2 linked regions of the Cricetulus griseus genome follow. The protein of the gene in region 2 purifies or fractionates together with the protein of the main gene of each other region. This does not show direct contact. Links are inferred from orthologs where the notes say so. Each region holds a gene or a part of one and is shown on either strand. Other genes may lie near its edges. The genes, in order: Cryab and Casp3.

What was found.
Region 1: the proteins of Casp3 (region 2) and Cryab purify together in Homo sapiens (affinity purification with western blotting; 3 studies listed by BioGRID). This does not show direct contact. The link is inferred for Cricetulus griseus from reciprocal best matches to the Homo sapiens genes CASP3 and CRYAB.

Annotation. Positions count from the first base shown.
Region 1 is NC_048597.1:162,498,514-162,505,264, reverse strand, and holds the start of Cryab (alpha-crystallin B chain), read right to left. Parts: upstream 4,636-6,751; 5' UTR 4,548-4,635; intron 4,508-4,547; exon of another isoform or gene 4,034-4,507; intron 3,973-4,033; exon of another isoform or gene 3,836-3,972; intron 3,737-3,835; exon of another isoform or gene 3,465-3,736; intron 3,405-3,464; exon of another isoform or gene 3,347-3,404; coding exon of another isoform or gene 3,287-3,346; exon of another isoform or gene 3,210-3,286; intron 3,138-3,209; exon of another isoform or gene 3,014-3,137; intron 1,376-3,013; 5' UTR 1,145-1,375; exon of another isoform or gene 668-1,144; intron 1-667. Other genes in the region: Dixdc1 (dixin), read left to right, coding at 3,342-3,346. UniProt on the Homo sapiens protein: May contribute to the transparency and refractive index of the lens. Has chaperone-like activity, preventing aggregation of various proteins under a wide range of stress conditions.
Region 2 is NW_023276807.1:40,015,564-40,022,195, reverse strand, and holds the start of Casp3 (caspase-3), read left to right. Parts: upstream 1-2,872; coding exon 2,873-2,925; intron 2,926-5,134; coding exon 5,135-5,259; intron 5,260-6,632. UniProt on the Homo sapiens protein: Thiol protease that acts as a major effector caspase involved in the execution phase of apoptosis. Following cleavage and activation by initiator caspases (CASP8, CASP9 and/or CASP10), mediates execution of apoptosis by catalyzing cleavage of many proteins.

The sequences.
Region 1 (6,751 bases), on a different chromosome or scaffold from region 2:
TGAATTAAAATTAAATAGCATCAAAATTCTAGTTGTCTAATTGCCTTAGCTATATTTCAAGCATTCAATAGCTACATGTGGCTAGTCGTTGCTGTTTTGGAACAATATATGGAATATAGAATATTTCCATCTTACAAAGTTCTAATAGACACTACTTCTCTAGGTTTTTTGCAATTGTACAATTTTTTTTGCCATATGCCTTAGAATTAGTCACCATGATTGTATCTTCATTTCTCCAGCATGCCATGAAGGACTACTGCACAAGGCACAAACCCAGACCTCAAAGGCCCTTGTTTAGATCTCAGTCCCTGTACTGATTTATCAAGAGACTGTCAGCACCTCTCCTGGTGTGGGTTCTTTCTTATATGAAATAAATAGTTGGGCCAAATGAAATCGTTATTTTGGAGATTTAAAATCTAGTACAAGGACTGGAGAGATGATACAGTGGTTAAGAACCCTCACTGTTTTTCCAGAGGACCTGAGTTTGGTTCCCAGCACCCACATCGGGTTGCTCACGACATCCTCTTACTATAGCTCTAGGGTACTCAGCAGCCTCTTCTGGTGTCTGATCTCCATGGAGACCTTCACACACATGGCACATTCTCATACAGATAAACAGACACATTTTTTTTTAAAGTCAGTTATAGCTAGGTGTGGTAGCACATACCTGTAATACAAGCATTTGGGAGGTAGAAACAGTAGAATTAGGAGTTCATGATCATCTTTGGCTAACTAGGAAGTTGGAGTCCAGCCAGGGTTACCTGAGGCCCTGCCTCAAAAGACTTAAAATGATAAATCGGTTGCTTAGTGAGTCTTCCCTCCAAAGCATTGCGTTCACATGTATTGCTCTCATCACAGACCGATTTTTGAGAAGCAGTGATCTCCTGGCATAGATGACGGTCTGCAGGCTGCTGTCTGATGCTTCACTAAGTCATCAACTGAACATTTTGGTTGTGCATCATTGCATATGTGCATGTGCCATGCAGTTCTTTGCACCTGCAAGTTTTGTGCTTCTGTTTATAAAGGGCTCCATTGCCTCAAGCACTGGTTTATGAGTCTGCCACGGACTGAAGGAACAGCGAGGAATCTTGGCAGTGACACTCCCCAGCTAAATGGTGAAGGACGGAGAGGTCTTCTGACTTACCCCAGCTGCTCAGAGTTAGTTTGACTGGGTGTTACAGCTGTTTCCCAGCTTCAGCCAGAGTGGAACCCACGGGATTCAACCAGCAGAGCAACTGGCTCAATGCACGTTGACTCTCTGCTTCCTGCTTGTTGTGGTCAGAGGCCCATCATTTCTCCAGGAGGCTTTGGTTTTCAGCAGCTTTAGATATCCAGTCAGGCTGCCCCAAGTAAGGTTTTTCCTTTTCTCCAGTGCCTGGAAGAGGAGGTTATTAGGTTAGCTAAGACTCAATAAGCTCATTAGTGACTTTTCTTCGTGCTGTCCTAATGGGGTTTGGGGGCGGGGAGGGGGGTGCACCCAGGATGGCTATAAAGTGGTTTGTAATTCCTTGATTATTGAGTTGCGAGTCCCTGAGCAGCTGTGTCCTTGGACAAGGCTCTGACTTCTCTGGGTCTTAGCACTGTGTAAATTCTTCCTTTCTACCTAGGACCACAAGATGGGAGGGGATGTGGACATACTTTTGATTTTCTTTCTTTTTTTTTTCAAAGATCAGTTTTCTCTGAACATGCAAATGGTTAGTGTTCTTAAAAATAAACAATTGAGTTGGTGACCTCAGCCAGGTCGCAGAAGGGAGAAGTCCTGTTACACTTCCTGTCAATGTACCAGGGCATTTTGGGTGCTTTCTTTCAATTAAAAACACTTATAAAAACCCCTTAAAATAAGGTTTGCCTTTCTTTTTTTGAGTCCAAATCTCACTATATATCTGTGGCTGGCCTGGAACTTGCTATGTAGACCAGGCTGGCCTTGGACTCATAGAGACCTTCCTGTCTCTGCTTCTAGAGTGCCAGGCCTGAAATATATATATATATATATATATATATATATATATATATATATATGTTATTGAAAGGATCACACATAGCTTAGGCTGACCAGAAACTGGCTATGCAGCCAAGGATGACTTCCGATTCCCTGCTTCGAGCTCCCAGTAAAGGATCACAGGTGTACACCACCACGCAGTTATTTTATTTTTAGAATTAATTATTAATGTGTGAGACAGCATGATGTGTATATGGGTGCATGTACCAGAGAAGAGTGAGCTCTCCCTTTCCACCTTTAACATGGTTCCTGGATTGATCTCAGGTGCCAAGCTTCTGCAAGAGCCTTTATCCCCTGAGCCACCTTGCCCACCTTTCCCCTTACAGCAATTATTTTGAAAAGAGAGAAGAGATACATGTGGTAAAACCATGGCCATCCTGAATCATCTTTGATGTTTTTGTTGTGATGTTATGATTTGTTTAGCACTGTTCAATTACTTACATCCCCAACAACCACCACCACCACCCCAGCCGCTCTCTCCTGATTCCTCCTCTTTTTTTTTTTCTTGCCCTTCTACTTCCTCTGTTAGGTTGCCTCACATGTGGAAAAAGGTTGCTGAAGAATGGGGTGGGGGAATCCTGTGACTCACTCCTTTTCCCATCCACCTTGTGGTGAGGTGCTAGCAGCCTTAAGAGAGCAGAGTGAATGTGTGTGTGTGTGTGTGTGTGTGTGTGTGTGTGTGTGTGTGTGTGTGTGTGTGTGTGTGTGTGTGTGTGTGTGTGGTGAGGTGCTAGCAGCCTTAAGAGAGCAGAGTGAATGTGTGTGTGTGTGTGTGTGTGTGTGTGTGTGTGTGTGTGTGTGTGTGTTCGCCTGCGTGTGCGTGCGCACGCGCGGGGATGCCCGTCTCCAAACCTGCAGTGTAGTGATTGTAAGCATATGCTCGTGCTGGCAAGCCCACTTGTGTCAGCATGGGTGTGTAGGTGTGTACGCGTGTGTGAGTGCTCTCCGCGCGCGCGCGTGCGCGCGCACCAGTCCGGAGCGTGTGCGCGCGCCCTCGGATTCCCCCGCACTCACGGGCTGCCCGGGGCTGGCCGCTTGCCTCTCGGTGCCTGCCGTGCGCGCCTGACTGTTTCTATAGGAACCAACACGGCGCCAGGGCCCCTCCGGCTGCGGCCTGCGCGCGAGCATGCCCAGTGCAAGCCGCTAGTTTGGCTCGGCTCTAGGTTTCCAGTAAGTGGCATGCGGGACTCAGGAGAGATCCCAGGGAGCTGAGCCGATTGCCTTTGTGTGCAGAGGGAGGAGGAGGAGGCGGCTCGACCCCACCCGGGGAGCCCCACGGCAGGAACAATGCTAGCCTGCCTGACCCGCGGGAACTTACTGGACGTCCTGCAGGAGGGCTTCAATGAGGTAACTGCCCTGCTCCTCCCACCCCCAGCTCCCCGTCACCCCACGCCTCCCGCCTAATCTCCGGAAGGGAATCCTGGGGCGGGGGGCATCCTCTGGGGGAGCCCAGAACACATCATACGTCAGAGTTGAAGAGCCTGGGTACAGAGCCAAGGTGGTGGGTGCGGTGCAGATAGATGCAGGAACCTGAGGGCATCAGAAGGGCGGTGGGCCTCTCTCTAAGCTGAACGATTACCTTCCTGAGTGCCGAGGACAGTGAGGACCACAGACTTAAGAAGGCATCTCCTTGCAGGAAAGGTGGTCCCCACGCCTCTTGGGGACTCTCCAGGGACATCCTTGAGGGAAGCCCTGAACAGGAGGCAGCTAGCTCTTTCTATTTCAGGAGCTAACCGGATGAGTCACGGGAGGGGTGTGGTGGTGTGGCATTGGTAGAAAGTTTGAGAGGGCAGGAGACTGCGGGTGGTCCTTTCCACGTGTGAATTCCCTGAGTCCTGCGCCGTTATGTCCTCCACCACCCAGGACAAGGTTGTTTGAGAGGAGCAACCTGGGTCACAGGCCCAGTTTCAGGAGCCAATATTTGCTCCCCTCTGTGAGAACTGCTGTGGGGGATCCTCAATCTAACAGGAAAGGTGAGCTAGGCTTGACTCAGGCTCATTTTCTCCTCACAAGTTTCTCTCAGAATTCTGTTACCTCTTTCTTCCTTTTGCTTCTTTTGTGATCCAGTCGATTCTTGTTTGAGACCATTGCCATTCCATTTGCCCCCACTCCTCCTCACTCATCCTTTTGGTTGCCTTAGCCCAGCAGCCAGGAAGGCTTAGGCTATTGGTCATGGCTTCCTGCCCACTTTTCCCTCTGTGCACCTCTCCCTTCTCCATCGAATTTTTAAATTTAAGATCTCTTGGGGGAGGGGGTTGGGCATGCTATGAAAGTGTTCTACCACTGCCCTACTCCTCTACCCTTTAAGGCAGCAACTTGTGCTTTTAAAATCAGTTTTTAGTCAGATAACATATGAAAATATAACCCTCCACCCCCAGCACTGGTGACTGAACCTAGGGCCTTGCATATGACTAGGGGCTAGACCACTGAGCTACACCCTAACCTGATATTCTTCTTAAATATTAACGTTACAGGCAAGATGGAAGAGTCTTTTGTGCCATTCCCTGCTTCCACCCCCTTCCCAACCTTTCCCCTAGAGGCAACCAACCATTCTCATGAATTTCCATGTAGGATTTTTTTTTTGTCTCCAGCTGCACGACAGGCTCCCTCCTTGATCGCTGTTTCTAATTAAGAAGCCCTGAGTTGTGACCTGCCTTAGAACCTACCCCAGTTCTGCCCTCCTCCCACCCTGTGCCCCAGCCTTGTTCCTGACACAGACAGAGAAAAAAAATCCAACGGAAATGTTCTGCCAGTGTGACCAACTGTGCTGGAATTTTCCTTTGGCTGAGGGGTGTTACAACCTTCATCAAAGGGCAGAGCTTGTATCCTGCCTGCATGGCTGGCCTCCTCATCTTCGCATCACTTCTCACTGAACACATGTAAGGGAATCGTTAACAAAGAGCTACAGACCCAGAGGTGAAACACAGAAGAGTCAGGAAACACACCTCTTTAAGTGCCTCCAGTACTCCCATTCATCTCTTCTCACTCTCTGCTCCAGGGCCTTCTCTGGTCCTTAGCTGTGTAAATCCTACCCATTCATCAGTTGTGGCAAAAGTCCCTTGGTCCTCCAATGCCCTTCCCCCTTCTCTGTTTTAACCCGGCTCTTTGGTGTCAGGACCCACCTTCTGATTAGAAGGTGACGGGCACAGGGCCAAGTCCTAGTCTTTGCTTTCTGCTGGTCTTTCATTTCTAAATCTTCATCTGAAGACCCATGTGAAAATGAAGTGGCCTGGCTATCATTTCCATGACTCTACATAAATATTGCATAACAGCACAGTTCTTCCAAAACAAGGGGAAGGGGGAGTAAAAGATATTTCTTCCTGTGCTGGTAATAGAATATTTCTAAAAGCAACAGTCAGACAACTTTGCAATCAATTCTTCTGTTAAGAGCCATTCAGTAATATGCTCCTGTGGTATTTGAATTGTCTACTCTTCCCATAAACTGCTCTCTCTGCAGACTCATGTTCTCCTTAGTAGTAGAGTCCTTAGTAGATTTGAACTCTGAAAAACAAAATAGCACTGTGGTTTTATACCTCTAAATAATATAAATATTAATGTTAAATTTGAATGATTCCTTAGTTAACATAAATTCTCATATAATACATTTTCTTCTTCCCACCCCACCCCCATACTATCACACAATCATGTTACTGAATAACAGGACAAGTGAAGCAATTGGTATGGTTGGTGGGAGCCTTGTTTGATCTATTCCAGGCTCAAGGTTGCTTAATAGGCCCAGTAACATTCAATCTCTTTTGCTAGAGTCATGTGATAAGACTAACTGGGGACTTAAAAGACAGTGTCAGAATACACTTAGTTCCTCTGAGAAATTATTTCTACTGAGACTAAGAATACCACACATGTATTCAGCCACCTCTTGGGAATAATCTAAGTATATCTGAAGCTATCCTTCATCACCCAGATGGTTTATTATAGGTCTGTGTGGTTAGGGCTGCAACCTCATTCTCCCTGGCAGAGAAAACTCCCACAGGAGACAGGGAGATGGCCTTAATTGGTTAATTATAGAGAAATCCAGCAGCAGAGAGAAACCCTGCCCTTTGAATCAAGGCTTCCCTCTATTTATTGCTGGTCCCTCTTCAATCCATATGTCACTAAATATAACTGTGTGTGACCGAATCTCCTTCAATCACATTGCCCACCTAGAGTCCTGGCCTCAGCATGCCTGGCAAAGAAGTCACAGAATTGATTCATGTCAGTGATGCTAAAGCAATCTCTTGTATTGACATGGTTGATTTTCACTGAATTATTATTTTAGCTACTGACATTGGTAACCCACCTTGGCTATTCTGCATTTGTTTCAAAGCTATAGTGTGTGTGTGTGTGTGTGTGTGTGTGTGTGTGTGTGTGTTATGTGTGTGTGTTTGTTGTGTGTGTGGTGTGTGTTATGTGTGCACAGCCCTGGAGTTGATGTCATGGCTTCTTCAGTTACTCTCCCCTTACTTTTTGAGACAGGGTCTCTCACAAAACCTGGAGCTCACTGATTCCACTAGGCTGTCTGGCCAGCGAGCTCTGGAAATCTGCCTGTCTCGGCTTCCCCAGTGCCAGGATTGCAGCTGGGTGCTGCTATGCCTGGCTTTTTAAGTAGGTGCTGGACATTGCATCTTCAGGCTTACATAGCAAGCACTTCACTGACCCACATCCCAGGCATGTTGTTTCTAACACAGGCTGTCCCTGAACTCCATATGTAGCAAAGGATTACTGAATTCCTATTCATTCTACCTCCATTTCCCC
Region 2 (6,632 bases):
TCCATAATGTTGTACCATGGAAATGGCACTAATAGCCTTTTCAAAGCTGCTTCTTAGTGATGATGTGCGGTACAGTCTGCTATGTCTTCATGATGCATGATGTGAGCATCTTTTCTTAAGCTTCTTCGACATCCCTATATTTATGTTTTGAGACCCACTGTGTTTCCTTTCTTTGCTTGATTTCTTTGCTTGCTTGATTTCCTTCTTTTTTTTTTCCATCTTTTTTTTAATTTGAATTAGAAACAAGATTGTTTTACATGTCAATCCCAGTTCCCTTTCCCTCCCCACCTCCCCCCTCAACTAAAGCCCTACCTATCACATATCACTGGAGCTGTGACTCAGTGGTAGAGCACTTACATATGCCTGAGGCCCCAGCACTGCCTAACAAATCAATACACTATTTTGCTTTCATTTCCTTTACTTGATCTGCTTTCTCTATTACCTGAATATGTATGCTGGACATCCCATTGAATTCTTTGAGAAACCCCAGTCTCTCTCTGCTCTTGCATCATTAATTTCCTGTTTCCTGCTGTGCCGTTCTTACCGACCTAAAAAGCATGGCTTAACAAAAGGCATCCTCTACCCCTCATTCTGTTCCATTTCTCTCTTCACAGCAAGCAGGAAAGATCCTTTTCTACTAACCCGGGAAGAGTTGTTTATACTGTTGCTTTTCTCAACCCAGGGCAACCATTGGTTCCTTTAAAGTACAATTTCAAAAAGTTAAAACTTGGCTGCTCAAACAGAAAAACAACCCATGTCAAGAATTTTATTCACCTGCTAGCTAATGAATGGAACCAATTAGATGTTAAGTCCAGTTCAAAGGAGAATTGGAAGAACAAGCAAATGCAAACAAAGAGCTGAATGTGTGAGCAGTTTGCTGGCAGTTATGAAAATGGTTATGTCCTATAAGGCAATAACTATAATTTAGAAGGATAGAAAAGAATCTTGATGTAGCTGCTACTTTTTATGGCTACAAAGTTGGAAACCAGCGTGTCTAGTAGTGAGTTATGTAAAAGACTATGCCCTGGGGAATTCAATAATCCCTCTGGGTAACACCCAACATCCCATCAAAATAGTATCTAGTCACTCTTTTGGCTTGGGTCATTTGTCCTAACAGTCACTACTGTAGCCATGACATGTTTCATAAAGCCGGTGTGGCCTACTGCCCTCATTAAAATAGGTCTTCTGGCAAGGGTGGAAAAGGTGAGTGTCCCTAAAAGTCTTCTGCCAGTGTCGGCACACCACATCCACCCAATTCGCTTTGCAAACTCTCAGTTCTTCTGCTGGCTTCACTTCCTCTAATCAACTTCTAAATCACAGGATGCCCACACTTAACTGTCTGTATCCATCAGCTGTTCGGCTCCAACTGAGGCCTCTATCATCTCCCTGAGCTACTCCAGAAGGCTTCTCACCAGCCATGTGTTTTAGCAGCCAGAGTGTGCAGTCCCTCTTTGGCTTTAAATGTCCCAATGTTCTCTCCATGTTATTGGTCCGAAGACCTTATGTGATCTTACCTTTCCTGGCTATCTATCTTCCTGCCCCAGCACTAGTCAAACTGGTCTTTGTGTACCTTGAGTAGAGCAAGTTGTTCCCAGGCCTTTGATCTAACTGATGTTTACCCCCACCCCCACCCCCACCCCACCCCCACCCCAGGGCAGGGGCAGCCTCCCTCTGTGTCATTCAGATCTCTGTAATGCCACCTCAGAGATAACAACTCCCTGACCACCCCCCCATTCCCAGTTTCTCACCCCTTTCTCATTTTCCTCATAGCCCTGACAGTATTAGAACCCTATTTTCCATCTCTAATTCTTTCTTTGTGGAATTCAAGTTTCTTGAAGATAGACTTGTGGTGCAAAGTGTGTGCTCTCTAAACATTTGCTTGCTGACTAAAAGCATGGTACATCCCAGTTGTCTCATATCCTGTGGTTTTCTAGAAAACCCACCAGAATAAAAATTGTAGAAAGCAAAGAGCCTTTATAGGAACACAAAGCACTGACTGACTTAGGAAGGCAGATGGAGCACTGCTCTCTACTGTGGTTAAACTGAAGGGTGTCACTTCCTCCTCTCTGTGTTCTTTCTTCACTGTTCCCAAAGGCACACCACACGGGGGAAGAGTAGGAACTTAGCTTTGGAGCCTTCTGTGACGCCGTCATAGTCGTTCTGATTTTAGCATACGACTGAGGTTAAAAGTTGTATTTTGATTGAAATATTAGACGTAACCAGGGATTCTAGAGTCTGAAGATTCACTCGGGATTTTCAGTACTTCTTTCATGTTTCATTTCTGTTTGTATGTCTTCTTTATTTGGGGAGGTATACAACCAGGGCAGTGTCTTTCCTTCTAGAGAACTCTAGAAGACAGGAAGGAACAGATGTGGAGAGGTGCACATGTCTGGTATTTGGAGACAAAGTCACTTAGAATTAGAAGTCAAGTTTCTGAGTAGGATACTGTGGAGGTTTGGAAGTTCCTGGGGCTCTCACCATTGTGGTGTAGTATTATGTGAGCTTTACTTCGTGGTTAGTGTTTGGGTTTTGTTTTAGTTATGTTGAGTTGGAAGCTGAGTTCCAGTAAATAACTAGATTGGTCGGGTGACCAAGGAAAGAAGGTGTTACCTGTTTTGATTGGCAGGGGCATACAAATGGGGGAAAGAGACTGAGCTGCTTTACACTCTGTTCTTGATATAATTCATAGCTAGAAGATCAAGGAAGGAGAAGGATGGTGCTATTGCAAAGGACCATTCTCTAGACATCTGACTCATGGGACCAATAGCGATGGAAACAATGAATATGGCATTGCTAATATATTGCAGTGGTTCTATAATGGGTAACATCTCTCTTTTTTTTTCCTTCTATATTCTAGTTAAGAAAAGTGACCATGGAGAACAATGAAACCTCAGTAGATTCCAAATCCATTAAAAATTTTGAAGTGTGAGTATTTATTTATTTTTATTTGTTGTAGTTTAAGGCAGACTCTCCACATACCCTAGGCTAACCTGGACCTGTATAATCCAGGCTAGCTTTAAACTTGTGATGGCTCTCTGACCTTTGTTTTCTAATGCTAGCATAGCAAGCCATAGTCACTGTGCCTGGTGATAATGGTATAAGTGGAATTCTATATATATAGTCAAAGGAAGACATGTTTGTGGAATGCATCCCATTTGAGAAATAGAGAAGCAGAGGGAAAGGGGATTTCAAACTAGAGAGCAAACTGCCTCCCACCTCCAGCAGCTGTGCAGCTCTGGGTAAACTCATTCCTCTGATCTCATCTTAACTAAGATGACAGGGAAAGACTGGAGGGAAGGAGATTGCTCAGGTACTATGCTAAGTGCTCTTGAATTCCTGGCTTTGGGATTCTCCACTCTTTCTGAAGGTACGTCATATCCTTTCTTGGTCTACTTGTCACATGCTGGCAGATAACGGGGTGAACAGAAAGTAGTGAAGAATCAGCATTAGGTAATGGGAATTATAGTTCTGTGGTCGATTATAAGATTTGCATCCCTTATGCAAAATGACTAAAACCAGAAGTATTTTAGATTTCGGACTCTCAGGTTGGAACATATGCACACACACACACACACACACACACACACAATGCATTAGAGATGGGACCTAAGTGTGTGTGTGTGTGTGTGTGTACAGGTGTGAGTAGACTACAGTGCACATGGAGGTCAGAGGCCAACATTTCCTTGTTTCTGCTGCCAAGTGTCCTAGGCTAGCAGTCAGGCTTCCACCTATTCTCCTGTCTCCACCTCCCATCTTGCCTCAGGAATGCTATGAACACACACATGTGTGCCACCACTTAGAGCAACCTTCCTAACACTGTGACCCATTAATACAGGAACTCCTCATGTTGTAGTGACCCCCAACCATAAGGTTATTTTTGTTGCTGCTTCATAACTGTAATTTTGCTACTATTATGAATCATAATATAAATAGCTGATAAGCAGGATATCTGATATGCAACCCCTGTGAAAGGTTCATTCAACACCCACCTCCCAAAAGAGTTTTGACCCACAGGTTGAGAATCACTGACTTAAAGCTTTTTAATGTAGTTTCCAGTGATTGAACTCAGGCTGTTAGGATTGCATAGAAAGCGCTATTACCTACCGAGTATACCCTGGCCTATAAATTTTAAACACTGTGAATTCACTTTTGTTTCATAAAAACTTTATACATGTATCCCAAAGCTAATTTTATAAAATATTTTTAGTGGACCTATGTTTTGAAAGTGACCTGTCTCATGGGGCTTGGTGTGACTTTTTCCACTTGTGGCATTATATTGATATAAATTTTGGAGCATTTCTGATTCTAGATTTTCGAACAGGAATGCACAGCCTGACTATATGACCTAATTAACTCTGTAAAATGTGGGGCCTTACCTCCAGCTATATATCATGGTTCTTTTTTGTCTGACTTTGATCCCCTTCATTTACTACTTTTAATCTTTCTACATTATTTTTAGAATTATATAAAATATAAGATGCTATTAAGGCTGAGTATGCATCCTTAACTTTTTTGCTTGGCTGTTCTTAGACTCGGCCTCAAAAATAAAATCTTAGGAAAAAAAAAGGCCGTACTTGCTGGTGGTGGTGACATACGCTTTTAATCCCAGTACTCAAGAGGCAGGGGCAGGCAGATCTCTGAATTTGAGACTAACCTGGTCTATAAAGTGAGTTCTGGGACAGCCAGGGTTACACAGAGAAACCTTTTCTCGAAAAACAAACAAACAAACAAACAAACAAACAAAAAAAGGTACTTTTATCATGGATAAATTAATTCATACATTGTTAATTTTTTTAAAGATGTATTTCGTAAAATGCTATTGGACTTTACAGGAAAACCTTCCAATAAGAGCTGAACACACTTCAGCACATTTTACTTCCTTGGCCTTGGCAGGTCATTTCCTCATCTTTGAAATGGGTTGTGGTTGTTGTGGATGTATTTATTTATGCTTTTTTTCCCTCTAGCACTTGGGATCAAACCCACATGTGAAATTTGAATGAGGGAAGGATTTAACACGAAGTTGGGTACATTGATAGTCTCAAACAAATGTTAACCATTCTTATGAGTAATAAAAGTTGTATTAATGGAGTCCTTTCTGCCTTTGGTAACTAACCGTCACTTGATTTCCATGCAGAAAGACCATACATGGAAGCAAATCAATGGACTCTGGAATGTATCTGGACAATAGTTACAAAATGGATTATCCTGAAATGGGTGTGTGTATAATAATTAATAATAAGAACTTTCATAAAAGCACTGGTATGTATCTAACATAATTTTTAAAACATTTCAAATATTTATGCCATTTACATTGGATACAATGTGAAAAGCAATTATCAGTGTGTTATGAGTCAGTAAACTGATATAGACAAACCACAGAGTAGAGCTACACTGGAACTTACAGGTCCCATATACAATAGGAACTCTTTTTCCATATTCAGAATCTTTGCCTCTCCTGACTTTGAAGGGTTGGATTCTCTGCTGCCCAACAGAGCCAATCTCTTGAGAGGCTGAGTGATGGGAGAAGAAAAGGTTGCATAAGCAACAAGCTGGCAGGGAGAAGATAAGTGACTGGCACCTGAGGTCTGCTGCCCTGGGGCAGCTGAGAAAGTGTCTCTAGCATCCTTTACAGGAGCCCTTAACTCACAGCCTCAGGCAGGTGGGCCCTACAGTCATTCCTTAGTCAGTATCAGAATACAAATCAGGGCCTCAGCCGGGTGTTGATGGCACACGCCTTTAATCTCAGCACTCGGGAGGCAGAGGCAGGCGGATCTCTGTGAGTCCGAGGCCAGCCTGGTCTCCAGAGCGAGTGCCAGGATAGGCTCCAAAGCTACACGGAGAAACCCTGTCTCGAAAAGCCAAAAAAACAAAACAAAACAAATTAGGGCCTCTTATCTCAGACTTGAGGTTGCTGGATTATCCCTGCCCTGTGCCAGGTTTCTCATTTACAGGTCTGTGTGCCTGCCTTCAGGCACATTCTGCTTCTGTGTTTACAACCGTTATTTAATTGAGGCCTTTCCCCTGACCTGAGAATGAGTGCACAGTAAAAGGAATGGTGTTTTATACTAACTCACAAGTAGTCATTAAGTTATAACTCAGGGGTTGTGCCACAGATCCTCCACACTCCAATGGAAGGCTGCACGTAGGAAGATGACACAAAGTTGGGTGGGACGGGAAGGGTCATGGGCTTAGAAGGAGTTGGAGACCCAGGGATGAATATGACTAAAGTCCATTGTATGAAATTCTCAAAGAACTAATTGGAAAAAAAAAATGAGGAAAAAATAAAATTAAAGAAGAAAAGGAGAGGGAAAAGACCAGAAAATGGGGTCAGTAGAGTGATTCTATTCCCAGTACCACATAGCCCTGTATGATGGTACATTCCTGTAATCCTGTCACTGTCACTTGGAAGAAGGAAGTAGAAAGATGCCAGCCTGGGCTAATGGGACTTTGTCGCTGAACAAACAAAAACCAACAAAACCAAACCTTGCCACAACATCTTTACTTACAGCAGTTAGAGCCCAGTGCATGTGGCTGAGCTGTACTGATGATCTGTAGTCCTCATTGGTACCTCCTTGATGATCTGTAGTCCTCATTGGTACCTCCGTGATGATCTGTAGTCTTCACTGGTACCT